Linked DNA regions of Oreochromis niloticus. The protein of the gene in region 2 interacts with the protein of the main gene of each other region in a pairwise test. Links are inferred from orthologs where the notes say so. Each region holds a gene or a part of one and is shown on either strand. Other genes may lie near its edges.

Region 1 (7,829 bases), on a different chromosome or scaffold from region 2:
GCGGTGCAGGAGGTTGCTTATGGCGCGGATGAAGCAATGGAGGTGGCAATGGAAGGTGAAGAGGGTGAAATGCAGCATGTCTTAGGTGGGGACCAAGTAGCGAGATTAAGAGAAGAGCTTGAAGACAGACTAGAGGGTGATGCTGCAGCACTAATGGAAGAAGAAATGGACCACAGAAGGGTTTTTAATGCCAACGAGGGCCGAGATGCACTTCTTAATCACCAAGAAGACTTGCCAGACCACAGGAATCTGGGTAATGGGCAACATGTAGAGGCAAGAAGTCCAAGCCCACCACCAGCACTGGAGTGCATTACCCTGCCTTCAGGCCACATTGCCCATGTAAACTCGGTCCTCCTCCTTGGGGGAGAGGGGAAGGTCTGTGCCACAGCTTCCAGAGACTGGAACGTAAAGCTCTGGGATCTGGAGCTGGGCTCGCTGCTGCACACGATGGGACGGCAGGGTGATTTTAGCAGCCATCGAGGCTGGGTCTGGTGCCTGGCATCTCAAGGACCTCTGCTGGCCTCAGGGGGCTTTGACAGCACTGTGAGGCTGTGGGACCTGCAGGCAGGAGGTGCAGATAGGGCCCTCATCAGGACCAGGGCTGCTGTTCTCTGCTTGTCCTGTCAGCCCGACATGTTGCTGGCTGGTACATTTGACAAGCAGGTCAGCATGTATGACACCAGAGGTGAGAGGGATTTATATGAAGCTTGTTTTGCTGTGTAGAAAGTGCACATGAGGGTCAAGAGTTTAGTAAATGCAAAGCAGTTATACAGACAAATGACTTGCTGAGGTGGATTCTGTCTGTTTTTGTCCACAGCTGCTGCACCACTGGTGAAAAGCATCCGTATGCACAGTAACGCCGTAATGTGCCTCTGTGCAGATGACAAATACATCATCTCAGGGAGTAAAGACTGCACTGTGGCCGTCTATGACCGCAGAGCAGGCAAAGGCTTGAAGAGACTTCGGGTAGATTTCTTGAAGAGCTTGTGCTTTTGTAAACATACTTATATCCACCTTTACACCAAGCCACTAACTCCACCCAACCCACCACTTTACAGCTGAGCTCCTACCTGCTGTCCATGAGCTACAGTGGCTGTGAGGTGTGGGCAGGAGACAACGGCGGCATGCTGCACTCCTTTACCATGCAGGCGGGGACCTTTAAGGCTGTCTCCCAGTTTGATGTGGGACACACAGCTCTGATCACTGGCATCCACAGATCCTCCGGAAGCCTCTACACCTGTTCATCTGATTGCACCGTCAAGGTGAGAGAATTCTTCGTTAACTTAAGCTGCTGGAATTCTGCTACTGAATGTCTTTAAAGTCATGAATTGTAATTTTCCCGCCTGGGCTTCAGGTTCATATACCATGCGCGCCTCCGAGGACGTTAAGCACCCTGCACTATCAAGCTGGGGTCCATGGGGTGAGTGCTGTGCAGTCAGTTAACACTTTGCTTATATAGCAACTTTTTTTATACAACTTTGTAGCTCAGAATGCTTTACAGAACAGCAACATGTGCAAAAAAGCCCCAGCAAACACACACCGTATAAAACTTGTCAGGAAGCCAATGCAGAGACTTTAAAACTGGTTTTATATTTGCTCTCTTTCTGGTTTTGGTTAGGATCTGTCAGTTCTGCAGTAGCTGAGGGGTTGCTATAGTTTTGTTTTTTTTGTTTTTTTCGGATGATCAAAGACGACACCTTTTGAACTTTTTTGGAGGGATTCAATATTAGTGATTGCAAAGTACTGACAGTTCTCTCTCGGGGCATCAGTGATGATATTTTAACTTTATTAATGTGGGCTTCTTTTCATTGTTCATGTGTCTGCTCTCTCCCTCTCGTTTCTCTCACTGCACTGTGTGAAAACTTTCAGCTGAGCGTGGAGGCCGGAGTCCTCGCCGTAGCGTCCGGTGATGTCAGGGTGCAAATCTGGAGGCCCCGAAAATGAAGTGGAAGAAACTACATGGCAACACTGAAAACAGGAACCCCGGTCTTTGTTGTGTTGTTCTGTGTCTCTATACAAATCAACAAACGTATAATAACAAATAAAGAAGCTGCCGTTGCCTGGAAGCCTGGCTATATCAACAGTCATGTAAGTGCTGAGTAAACAGACGAACACAAAAGAGAAGAGAAGAGATGACAATGACGACAGATGATGACCAATCAGGTTATTTTTAATTTTTAAGTAAACTATTTTGAAATGACTGCTTTCAGTTGTTTAATTTAGTTGTAAATGTGTGGTGGAGGATATTTCAGGTATTTTCGTTTTGTCACAAACCCTCACATTGTATTTTTATTATTTTTATTTCTATCTTGTTTGAGCCACTGACAAGATTTTTCTACAGATGAAAAAAACAAATGTTTATTTCCAATGTTTTCCCCCAAAATTTTCATTTTGTGCCACTACTGACCTAATCACTCTTAAAGACACTTTAAATATGCTATGTTCAAACCACTGAAACCACAGACATGTAAATGTTTGTAATTTTAATACATTTATTGAATCTCATATGTAAACTGGCATTATACAACAATAATTACTTAATTAACTTAAATGTTTCATGTACAGTAAAGTATTTATTGCTGTGACACACTGATCGTAGTTCTATAGCTATTTATTTGAATACAGTCAAGAAAGCGTTATTATTTGTGTCCATATGCTGTGTGTGATTTTAATATTGACCAAAAATCATTTACAAACGTGCTGAGAGACTGTTTCCACAGAAGACAACATTAAATGTTCTAAAAATCAAGTGCGTGGATTATTTTGTGATTTCCCAGATGAGAACATGTATTATCGTTTACACAGTGCATGTTCGTGGTTGTGTTCTCAGACAGAGGTTTTCCTCACAGCGCCGTCTGGGAGCCGTCAAAGAATCACACAGGTCTTCTTATCTTTGAAGGGATTGGATGAAGCGGCTATGCCGGTGAGCAGGGGGTCGCTGCGCCTGTGCTCCTGACAGTACTGGACTAAATCTGCTGCTGTCAGAGAGATCTGCTGGGGCAGAGAGTTGACTGGATTTTAGACACAAGTATGAAAAACTGTTGGACAGTGAGCATGGGATGTTTAAAAAATAAAATAAAATGAATATGTATATATATGTATATATATATATATATATATATATATATATATATATTTTATTCAGTACTTTGGAGAAGGAGGGACTTTAATGGAGCAATTAAAGTGTAAAATACTAAAAATTAATATTGATCCAATACCAGGTAAATACAGATACTGATACCTTTAACTTATGTCGCCAGCTTATGTCGGGAGGGCAGTGTGTCATAAATTCAACCAGAGGAATCATAAGTTTTCAAATTCTGAACACATCTTAATGACCACTAAAACACTGATTTTTACATTCAACAATTAACACTACAAAACACATTTCAGATTTCTATGTATTTTGTAACTGTTTTTGGTTTTTTGGAGACCTGGAATGTAAATGTGTATGTGTCTAAAGCACTTTGGATCTGCTTCTGTTGTTTAAATGTGCTGAAGGCTTTAAATAAAACTGATGTGACAATAAACACAAAAAGATTCAGACATTATTCATAGCGCGTGCTGAAATTATAGTATTTTATCCCCCCCCCCAAAAAAAGTATTAATTTAATACAATTTAGTGATCTACATACTGAACGTAGAGGATGGAAACAAATATCAACCAAATCATGCTTAGTATCAATCCAATTAATATTTATATCAATCTGCCCGCCTCTATAAAGGTGATTTAGTTTCTTACCCACCTTGAATCTCTCCATGCTTGCCTCTACCCGAAGTTGATCCACCAGTTTTTGTGCCTGAATAACACTGCTGCTGCTGCTGCACATCTTTCCTGACATTGTCTTGAGAGCAAAAACACAGAAATAAAATGTACTCCTATGACACCAAAGTTAGCAGCAGGAAAATGAGTTACACCAGTCACTTACCTGATCTAAACAGCTCAGGTTATACAGGAGCATCTGCTCAGAGATGCTCCCGACTCCTCCTTTTGACCTGTACCCTCCTCTGTTTATTTTTTTTAATTCCCTGTTGGGGCCAGTTCAAAGACTCTGTGATAGAAAAGGTCAGACAACACAGTGGTGGAAATGTCACAAACATCACATCTCTTCACAGGCACTGCTGGAGGCTGTGCTTCAGAGATGTGGTCTGCCCTTAAACCAAGATTATGTGTCTGTACTTTGACAGAAGATTTTATGATAGTACAAAAGTTTGAGCTCATCTGACTCTTTTTGAGTTCAGTGATTAGTGGGTCCTGATGAATGACAAATTTTAGGACAAGTTTTTTTTTTTTAATTACATCAGGGCAGATGGGAAACGAATGCATGTGTGACACACTGCTGAGCTCTCACAATGTGTTTGATATAGAGAAAAATATTTTAACAAGGTCAAATATTCCCCTAATATTAAAACATACTGCATAGTATTACAGTATTCATCTAAAGTTATGTCAGAAGTTTACATACACTCCTCATGGGCATGACTTAAAAAAACAAGAATTGGAAATTTAGGATTTTCTCTAATCCACACAGCCTCAACAGTATACATACAGGCCCAACACTATCTTTTACACCCAAATCTTTTAATAAGTGGTGCTGAAGGTTCTATACTGTGTTTTAACTTGAAATGGTCAAGGCCTGTTAATTTCTCATTAGTGATCATGGCTGACTGCAACTGGTGGGTGTAGCATAAAAAGGATTTGTGATTAGCCCTCACTGGACTGATTGACACTCAAAACAATGGGAAACTTCACGGAATTCTGCGGAGATCTAAGAAGGGGTGGGAAAAAAATCTCCTAAAATATTACTATTTGTCTATATGTGGAAGATGAGAAATAAAAACACTGTGAACATCACAAAGGTAGAGTAGCTAAAAAAAAAAAGGGCAACCTGGGTCACATTTGTCCCTTTTCACTTTCCGTAGAAGTAGCTCGTTTCTCACAGGCGATCCATGCGACGTTTAGGGGAATACAAATCTTCAATATTTGTTTTTTTGCGCGTAGTGACAGCCGTTTATTGCTCAGCCTTCTTCATCACCTGACGCCTCTTCAAGAACAGGTATGTCTTCATTTCTCTTTTAGATGTTAAGTCGCGATTCAAGCTAGTTTGACTCAGAGTTAGCTTCTAGCTAACGTCTGATCACATGGATTTTGTATGTTTTCATTGATGTTTTAGCACCTGCTAAACGCCATATGCTCTTTTAATAAAGACAAGTCCCTGTACAAAGGCATTTCTTCCAAAAATAAGTGGAATTTTACATCTAAACCACAGGATTTTTAAAGTTTAGATATTTTGTGGCTGTGAAATCGATGTTATTTTTTTAAAAGCTCATCAAAACCAACGTGATGGCCATAAGTCGCATTTACACTTAAAATATTCATCTGCTTACTCTCACATTAGCATGTGCATTAACGAAATCACCAGATATGTAATCCTCAAAATAAGTATTAGAATATCCTGATAAATCAATGCCCAGTCACCTCTCACAGCGTTAGTACTCATAAAATCAGATAGCTGATTTTATAAGCTTGCCATATGTTTATGTAAAGTGTTAACGAGTAAAATTACAGCATAGTTGAGTAAACTGTGCAGCAGATCTATAGCAATGTAACTGCAGTACATTGCTGTGGTAATAAATATACAAGTTATTTTCCTTCACTTCAACTACGGTATGAAATTAAAGAGATTTTGAGCCACCAGATACGAGAATATACAACAGACCTGCTATCTGCTCATTTCCAGCTCCATGTTTTTACTTATGGAATCTACTAGAGTATCTTTATGTAAATAACAGTTAAAATAATCCTTATTTATCTTGTACCTGCCCTCAACCGCTTCCCTAAAAACCTGCTTTCTTCTGATTGGCTGCCCTCGGAAACAGAAGGTTTCAATAGCAGATGGGTGGAGCTGTTGTTCACAGAGCCTTAGCTGACCAAATGAAGAAATCCTCCCTCACTGACATCATTCGGAGGCCCAAAAACAAAGCAGTATATAGTCTCCACTTCTGGTTCACATGGATTACTTTTGCATATGTTGACCTTTCTATGAGGTTTTTAGCACTGTAATGAATGATGTATAGAAAATCAGGAAAACTGCAGTAGGTGCACTTTAAAGGAATCTGCAGGATGGACATCCACCTTAGAAACATGCTGCTAGCCTTTCCAGGAATTCAGTTATTCAAATTTTTACTAGGAATCCACTAACTTTAGTTTCTTTACATGCAAACACTCCAGTAACCAAATGTTTCAGGAAAATGTTCTTCCCAACATTTGCACATTCAAATAAATAACATCCTGAATAAGCTGGATCTGCAAGTGTGCGTTATATTTATTTATTTTTTTTACCTAAAATATGCTGAAAACCTCCAAGAAGGCCCATCTCTGTGGAAATCTCAAAGAGTCTCTGTTTGGTGATTGTCTTTTGCAGAAAAGATGGCAGACCAGGCGCCCTCAGTTGCCATGGAGGCTGTCCTGAAGCCTAGCTGTGACCTCCCCAAGGACATGCCGAAAATCAGAGGTTACGACTTCAACCAGGGAGTCGATCTCCATGCGGTGCTGAAGTCCTATCTCACCACGGGTTTCCAGGCCAGCAGCTTAGCCCTGGCTATCCAGGAGATCAACACCATGGTGAGAGGAATGCCTTTGGGGGGGGTTATTAACTTTCAGTAAACGACTACAAGGTGTCTGGCACCCACACCTTCTCCTTTTGTCTTATAGATAGTTTTGGTTTTGCTTGCCCAGGTTATGCTATGTGCATCTTTTGGCATTTCTTCTTCCACTGCAGTACAAGAGGAATCCTATTGATGGGAATCATAGGGATCATATTGATATGAATATGTCACTATTTAAAAAAAACAAAACAAAACAAAGAACCCTAAAAGCTTTTAACTTCCTGGAGTCTTGCTCCACTGACACTGAGAGACTTTTATTCGCCCTCCTCATCCAAAAGGCTTATCAGTCACTCCAGACCGGGCACATGTGTCACACCCACAATCAAACCTCACTTTTATCCTGCGCTCTGTTTACCTCAAAACTTGGAGATGGAGTGCAAAAGTACAAATTTGTTGACTTTGATGAAGGTTTGACATTGAGCCAGCGGTGGTTTTGGAGCCAGCTGCTCAACGCTGTTGTGTTTGGCCTCACTTGTAAGGTGTGTTTGTTGCCATAGTGATCCACGTTGTATGTTTGCGATATCTGTTTATCTGTTGCTCACCAATGATTTCGGCCACCACAGATCGAGAAGCGTCTCGAACCAGTGGAGGAAGGGGAAGGAAATGAGTCGGAAACCCCAAAGTCAGGCTGCACCATCTTCTTGGGGTACACCTCCAACCTCATCAGCTCCGGAGTCAGAGAAAGCATCCGCTATTTGGCGCAGCACAAAATGGTACATAATGACACGTCTCATGTAACGATCCACATAAGTTCTAAATCAGTCACCCGGTTTCTTAGAATCTGTTCCTCTGCGTCAGGTGGATGTGATTGTAACCACAGCAGGAGGCGTCGAGGAGGATTTAATCAAGTGCCTGGCTCACACCTACCTGGGAGACTTCAGCCTCCCCGGCAAGGAGCTCCGCCTGAGAGGCATCAACAGGTTTGTTAGGGCTGCCGCAGTGTATCTGTAAGCTAACATGTAAAATAAAAATATTAATAGTAAAATATAAAACTGTTTGTTGTGGCCACTCTTCAGCTTCCGTTTTAGCTCATCCCCCTGGCTTTCTTCTGTTTGACTTCCCCTTTTGAAACTTTTTTTAAACAGTGTAGATGAACAGTATATAAGGCAAAGCAATAATAGGTCCACTTTAAAGAAAACATGCTTATTCGCTTTATGATC
Region 2 (6,969 bases):
TGCAGTGAAGTGAAGCAACTGATCCGCGTCTTCTTCTCCTTTGCAGAATTTGTCAGAATGATGTCCCATCAATGACAGTCCAGGACAAGGCCAGTCAGGAACATTCATTTGCACCTCTGCAAACACGCACTAACACTGATGCTGTTCTTTTCTGGGCTTGCAAAAACAACACAAACACAAGAAATGTTAAAATTACATGCTGGAAACAAGCAATATCAGACTGATCTCAGAGCGGATTTTATAGCTATGCAAATAATAACAATTTGTAATGATTTTTCAAATGTAAGAGTGCTAAAATAAAAAAACTCTGTTGTTATGTTTCATCATATATACCAGGGATGTCAAACTCATTTAGTTGATCCTTAGTGGGCAGTGGAAAGAAGTCTAAGTATATATTTAATCACTGAAATATCTTAATATAAGAAAAAGAAGTGCAAGTGTGTCTCAGTTTTTCCACATGATAAAGTAATGCTGCTGTGGTAAATGAAAGAAACCTCTCAGCGTGACTCTCTGGGCAAGATTGTGAGAAATAACTGTGTAAGTTTACAGAAAAAAATCAGAAAGTTCTTGTTACTTCACAGATAGTGTCCTTTTTTGTGGACTTATTGTAAAAAAATGAAACTTCTATAGTCAATAGTGAAAAAAAATGAAATTTTCTGTGTTTAATTGTTTCTCTATTACTTAATTACTTTGGTGTAGAATGAATGGGCACGAGGAAAGTCTTCATCAGCAGGAAAAAACTCCAAAACTTGTTACAATACATTGAAAAGTCCAAAAATGTATGCATATCTTCCAAAGGCATCTTGTGGACCAGATTGTAGTCTTTGCCAGGCCCACTCTGGCCCCTGGGCCTCATGTTTGACAACCCTGATATATACTGTATACAGTGGAAGTTTGTTGAATTGGAATTGTTTTTATATTTGTATTGTTATTGAATTATTCTTACCATTTAAACAATGTTACAACAAAGCAGGATGTAAAGTTAAGCTACTACTGTACTGTACATTATTAACCTGAGCTGGTTGTATTAGGTAATCTGTAACTAACTTCCAACAAGTGAAGCAGTAACATGGATCTGCCTTTCTTTGGCAAAGCACAAAATAAAACATCTGATCTGAACATCTGAAAAGGATTCAGGAGTATCTGTGGAACAAGAAAGTTCTCTGTGTCCGCCTGAAAGAAACCCACAGACACTTGACTCATTTAAGCGTAGACCATATTGTCCTTGTGACTTCTTGCATTCCAGTAATGTGCAGTCATTTCATGCCAGAAGGAAGTGATTTAAACATGAAAAAGTTTAGGGACTCTGTTCTACTAGGATTGAGTAAAAACTTTGGAAGGACAATAAGAAACTGTAACTGAAAAGAGGCAGAAATTTGGGATTTTGTGACTGATGCATAACAGATTTAAAGGTATTAAGAGCAAAAAAACCTCCCCCAAAACAAAAAAAGAGGTTCATGTCCCAGAATCTGTCCTTTTAGAGAGACAGTCTGAGCCATTATTTGAGGTTAATACTCTGTGTAAGTTGGGAACTTCACGGAAATATGGACATAAAACACAGAGAGGAGCTTAATAGTATTAAAGAGTATTATAACCCCATATCCATTAAAAAAAGAAAGGAAAAGAAAAGTTGAGTGAAATTTGTGGCACGTGAACACTTTCTTTTTTTTTTTTAACCTGTGGACTAAATCATTCTTGCAGTTGGTGATCAGTAATTGTGTCATACGGATCCAGAGCCAGCGCAGCTGGGATTAAATATTGGGGCTGAATTCAGGGATGTGCTACGGGACACACTGTACTGTCACATTTGGGGAACACCAGCCAGGCAGATGTTGCTGCATGACAAACTGGGCACAGCATCAAACAGACAGACAGATGGGGCATGAGGACTTATGCTGCCAATGAACAAAAGTGAACCTAATTACTAAACACACATCTGTGAGTGGTGCTCCACAGAGAGAGTGATCGCTCTGTCGGTATGCTTAATGGAAAAGTAACTAAATATCTCGTCTTTTATTACTATTAGTATTAATATTAATACTTTTATTTTGAAATGATTGTTCTTTTATGTGGATTGGGACTCAGAGAGACACTGAAACAAAAAAAGTGACATAGGAAAGATTTCACTGCTATTAATGGCACACTAATGTAAGTGAGGGTGTTTAAAGAGGAGGGTGGGGGGCACATTTAACCTTATGGATGTAGTGCCAAGCGAGGGCTGATGAGTCCAGAGGAAGAATCCGATGATGTAATGCTCACTGGCTGGCCTTTGCCCTGATCCTTCCTGATCCCTCTAACATCCAGCGTCAACCTTTATTGCATTAATCCTCAGTAATCTCTCTCTTGGTTGCTCTCAGACTCAATTCTGATGTAGCCTCTATACCCAGTGACTTCTTCTCAGCCAGACACATTAAAAAAACACAAAAAAACAAGCCTTACCATTTTAACTTATTGCACTGATAGCCCCTTCCCCAGGCAGATTTCATTTGGTTAGCTTTAATCTTTCTGAGAAGAGTCGGATGCACTGCGGGGTATCTGCTGCTGGAGCACCTGCCCTGTGAGAGTAAATACAGCTTATCAAAGTCATTCAGTTGTTGCTTGCTCACATTAATCTGTGAATTTGTTTTATAACATTGCGTACAGACAATATTGCATAACACCAGCGCTATAAACACCGAGAAGCTTGTTGTTGAAAAACACTAAGCCGAACCGTAACGACTTGAGAAATATTGTTTTTCTTAACTGTTTTTTTGGGATGCTCAAATGTTGTTATTTCATTATTCCACTGCTACAAATACTTCAACAAATCTGTTGCTATTTGCACTACCTTAACGGAAAAAGAAAGGACTGAGTGGGACAGGAGAAGTGAGTGATGAGGAAATTCTGTGCTTCTCAGTCTTACTGACGTCCGACCTGTAATAAAGAGATCAGTAAGCTGCTTCACCTTCAGCTAATTAACTTCCTCTTGGCCTCTGTTTGAAAAATGTGCACAAGTTTTGTTCCTTTAAATGAATACTGTAGCTAAACAGTGAGCCACTTGTGAATCTTTCAATGCGTCTGTTGTTTTCTTACTCTTTGGTGGCCAGCGTCATATTTTTTATGCTGTAGTGTACTGGGACAGCACAGCTGATTGACTCAATACGGTCTTAAGGAAATCCACTTCTGTCCTCTCAGTGCTGAGGAAACTTGTCAGCATAATGGACACAGCCTCTAATCTTGCATCAGAGTCACGCCAGAGCGCCTTCAGGTGTAGACTAATAAGACCTGGGGGTGAACTAAAGATGACACAGGAGGTCTTTTCTATCAGCGTCCAACAATCTGTGCAGCACTGAAACCAATTATAGAAGAGATGTACACAAATGCCAAACAGAGAAGGGGAGTAAAACTTACACCAGTTCCTCTTTCCAACAAAATCCAAACCAAACCAAATATATAACCAAATTTTCCCAAGCTGGAGTTCAACAAAGTCTTGATAATACTGTTTATTTTATTCATCGATGCAGATTCCTGAATATTAAAACCATCTTTCTCCAAATTTTATGAAGGATATGTGAAACTTTAAAAAGTCACAGAAAATGAACATTTACAAAGCTCTGTTTTTATTTTTTATTATTTATTTATTTCATTTGGGCTGAATTAATATCACTTGTAATTATGTTAATATTATTTATTCATTGTTATTCTCTATTTTCCTCTTTGTATTGTTGCTCATGCGCTCAGTCCTTCCTACATGTAAGTTGTAGTTTCTTTGTCGCTGGCGCAATGGCCAGTTTTGGGTAATAAATAAAAAACAAGAAAAAAGTATTACTAATTTATAATACTTACTTTGTAAGTTATATATATATGTGCTCATGGTCACGGCCAGAGACATAACTTGACCCCATCAATAAATAAATAAATTCATTCATTAAAGTAAAAAAAAAAAAAAGCTGCTGCGGACGGAAGCCGAAAAGGGACATCTTGCGAGTTCTGTAGTAAGTACATCCTCTGCCACTTCACCAGAATGTATTTAGCTAAAAACTGAAAACCATAGTGTTATTAGTTTTCATCCGTGAGAAACAAGCGACAGTAAGTTGAGTCGTGCACATATTGACATGCTGGTGTGGTGACGTTAAAGGACGGTTTACTGTGGCAGCTAATGGCAGCTAACTAGCTCTGCTGTTAGCTGCACGCTTTGCAGCTGTCACAACTCAAAGCAGCTGGTATTAAGTCTATGAATAATGTTTATAATAATCATAAAGTGCATGTGTGTGGCTTTTACTGAATGATTTGCTCCGGACTAAAAAAATGTACGCTTAAGAGTTGTAGCCGTCTGTTTGTATTTGTTTGCTAACTGTGTTTAACTTTGGATGGAGTCTGTAAGCGACGCAGAAACAACATCTGTATCCATGTGGAAATAGAAATGGAAAGGTGGAAATGCGTATAAAACCATACAAAACCGATCACTGGATTAAGTTACATTTTTTTCTTTTAAAAATGTCAGACATTCAGTGCATGTGAGATCTGAAGGCGTCAGTGTGAGCAGCACAGGCTGGGACTGAGAATAGACTCAGCATAGACAGGACATCTAATAATTTGATCAGGAAATCAGTAGAATCCTATGGAGGTATAGAGATTACAAAGAGGGACCACAGAGGGTTAAAGATGACACCATGAAGACATGAGAAAACGTTTTTGAAGCTAGATTAAGAAGAACACTGTGTGAACGATAGTAAGACAGGTGTGATAGTGAAGCTGCCAGGAGCAGAGGTATGTATGTGAAGGTAGATATATTAGACAAAAAATATTGAAGATGCAGCTGCCAGGCAGTAGGAGAAGAGGAAGACCACAGAGAAGACTCATGGATGTAGTGAAGGAGGTCATGCAGATGAGGATTTTAGAGCGAGGTGAGATGGAGGCAGATGATCCACTGTGGTGAACGCCTGAAGTGGACAGTGGAAAGAAGAAGAAGATGATAGCTCAGCAATTGTTAGTTTCAGCCTTGTACAAAAACCTGCCGTCACATATGAGTGAATGTCTGACATTTATGATTATTTAGTTATTTCTTTTTGTCCACACAGATCTCCCCTGATGTTGACTGGATGTAGAAATCTCTCTTGGACATTTTTCTCGCTCACCAGTAGAAGACTTTGGCCTAGACAGAGTTTTACGTCCCGAGCTGCTCTGTGCTCTTCTGCCTTTTCATCCGTCCTTCATTCTCTTTCTTCATCTACCCACAGTCATCACTTCCTGCCTAGCACACAAAGCTCAGCTCGCCTTCCTCCATCTTTTAATTTCTCCTCAGCTCATTCGTCCGGTCTGATGGAGTTAAAGGAAGTTCTGCAGGTTTTGGAGCAGCTTGCTCCACTGTCGCTTGCAGAGTCTTGGGATAATGTCGGCTTGCTGGTGGAGCCGAGCAAACCTCGGCCCGTTAAGACCATTCTTCTAACCAACGACCTCACAGATGCCGTCATGGAGGAAGCAGTGGCTGTGAGCTGCGATCTCATTATTTCGTATCACCCGCCGTTGTTTCGGCCAATCAAGCGTCTGGTTCAGAAAGACTGGAAGCAGCGGCTGGCTGTGCGGGCCGTGGAGGCTGGCATAGCGGTCTTTTCCCCTCACACTTCATGGGATTGCGTGAAAGGAGGCGTGAACGACTGGCTGGTTGGAGGACTTGGTGAGAAGTCTCTCTGAATGTAAAATGTGATGCTCGCACTTAAATCATTAGATATGAACATGATGCTTATTCACTGACCTTCATTTCATCCCCACTGCTTTTTTCTTTGTCGCATCAGGCAGCGGTCAGGTGTCGGTGTTGAGTCAGGTTCTCGGCGCCGCCTCCCACAGTCACAAACTGGAATTCACGGTCAGAAGCGCAGAGGAACTAAACATGATCATGGAGGAGCTGAAGGCTTGCGACAGTGGAACGACCCTACAGCATTCAGGCAGCAGGTTGTGTTCAGACATCACCGATTAGCAACAAGCTTTAAATTCAAGGACCATTTTGGTAGTTTTGTCATATATGTGTTACTTTTGTTTTATTTCTTCCAAACACGCATTATTGTAATTTGAGTTTAGCTTTAATCAAAGTTGGAAATCACCCACAGACACTTGAAGTCATCACAGGTAATCCAAAGCTGCTTTTGGACTATAACTATTACCAAAGATTTTTTTCAGTTTGCATTCGGACAACTTACAGAAACTTCAAATATATATATGTTATAAATTTTATTTCTTAGGGGTTGAAAGTAAGGCTGTGTTTAGCCCCTTTTCCCAACTAAAACTAAAATGTCATTATTAGGGTAAATATCAGGTAGTATGGCACTATGAACATGGATGCTTGAAGGCCTTAAAATAATTGGATATCCTATCACTGAAAGCATATTTCGAAGGCTGTAGAAACTGTAGAGGACTGATACTTTATTTACAGTTTCTCATGCATAAAGCACATAATATCCTTTTAAAACTAAGTCGGGTGAATAATTTCACACATACTAAAGTTTGAATATGGAAAAAGGAAAAAACAACAACATTTTGATCCAACTTCAGTGTGATTTTTCCCTATATAAGACACCATATTCCAAATCTAAATCTTTTTTTCTTGTTTTAGAAACAGCAAGTTTCTGTTAATAATATATCCAAACTTAATGATGGATTTCTCTTCTTCCTCCTTGCATATATTTGCAGATTTTTCTTTGTGTTTTTTTCCTCTTCTTTTTAAGCCTTGCTTTAACAGCTGTTGTTTACGTGGCTAATGTTTTACTGATGTTAATGTCACCTTTGTTTAGTGGTCGTTCGATTTATGTGTTTGACACTCACACCCGGACCAATCAGAATACACTTGCATCACTCAAAGTGGCTTTTAAGTTGGGGAAAGAAGCTTTTCTGTAGTTGTAAATCATGGATTAAACATGGGAAACAGGGTCTGAAAGAACCTTAGCGCAGCCAGAAACCAACGTTTTCAAAATTCATGTCTTAGTTATCGAGAAA

The links.
Region 1: the proteins of nif3l1 (region 2) and dhps interact in binary tests that used the Homo sapiens proteins (3 or more experiments, as listed by UniProt). The two-hybrid records come from large-scale screens. The link is inferred for Oreochromis niloticus from reciprocal best matches to the Homo sapiens genes NIF3L1 and DHPS.

The regions. Positions count from the first base shown.
Region 1 is NC_031969.2:16,865,134-16,872,962, reverse strand, and holds the start of dhps (deoxyhypusine synthase), read left to right. Parts: upstream 1-4,786; 5' UTR 4,787-5,057; intron 5,058-5,720; exon of another isoform or gene 5,721-6,306; intron 6,307-6,425; 5' UTR 6,426-6,430; coding exon 6,431-6,625; intron 6,626-7,232; coding exon 7,233-7,382; intron 7,383-7,467; coding exon 7,468-7,589; intron 7,590-7,829. Other genes in the region: fbxw9 (F-box/WD repeat-containing protein 9), read left to right, coding at 1-685, 818-966, 1,059-1,262, 1,355-1,420, 1,870-1,944; guanine nucleotide-binding protein G(I)/G(S)/G(O) subunit gamma-7, read right to left, coding at 2,866-2,991, 3,747-3,845, 3,930-3,962. UniProt on the Homo sapiens protein: Catalyzes the NAD-dependent oxidative cleavage of spermidine and the subsequent transfer of the butylamine moiety of spermidine to the epsilon-amino group of a critical lysine residue of the eIF-5A precursor protein to form the intermediate deoxyhypusine residue.
Region 2 is NC_031973.2:16,634,313-16,641,281, forward strand, and holds the start of nif3l1 (NIF3-like protein 1), read left to right. Parts: upstream 1-3,874; 5' UTR 3,875-3,974; exon of another isoform or gene 3,975-4,068; intron 4,069-5,060; 5' UTR 5,061-5,070; coding exon 5,071-5,656; intron 5,657-5,774; coding exon 5,775-5,931; intron 5,932-6,969. Other genes in the region: cabp5a (calcium-binding protein 5a), read left to right, coding at 47-75. UniProt on the Homo sapiens protein: May function as a transcriptional corepressor through its interaction with COPS2, negatively regulating the expression of genes involved in neuronal differentiation.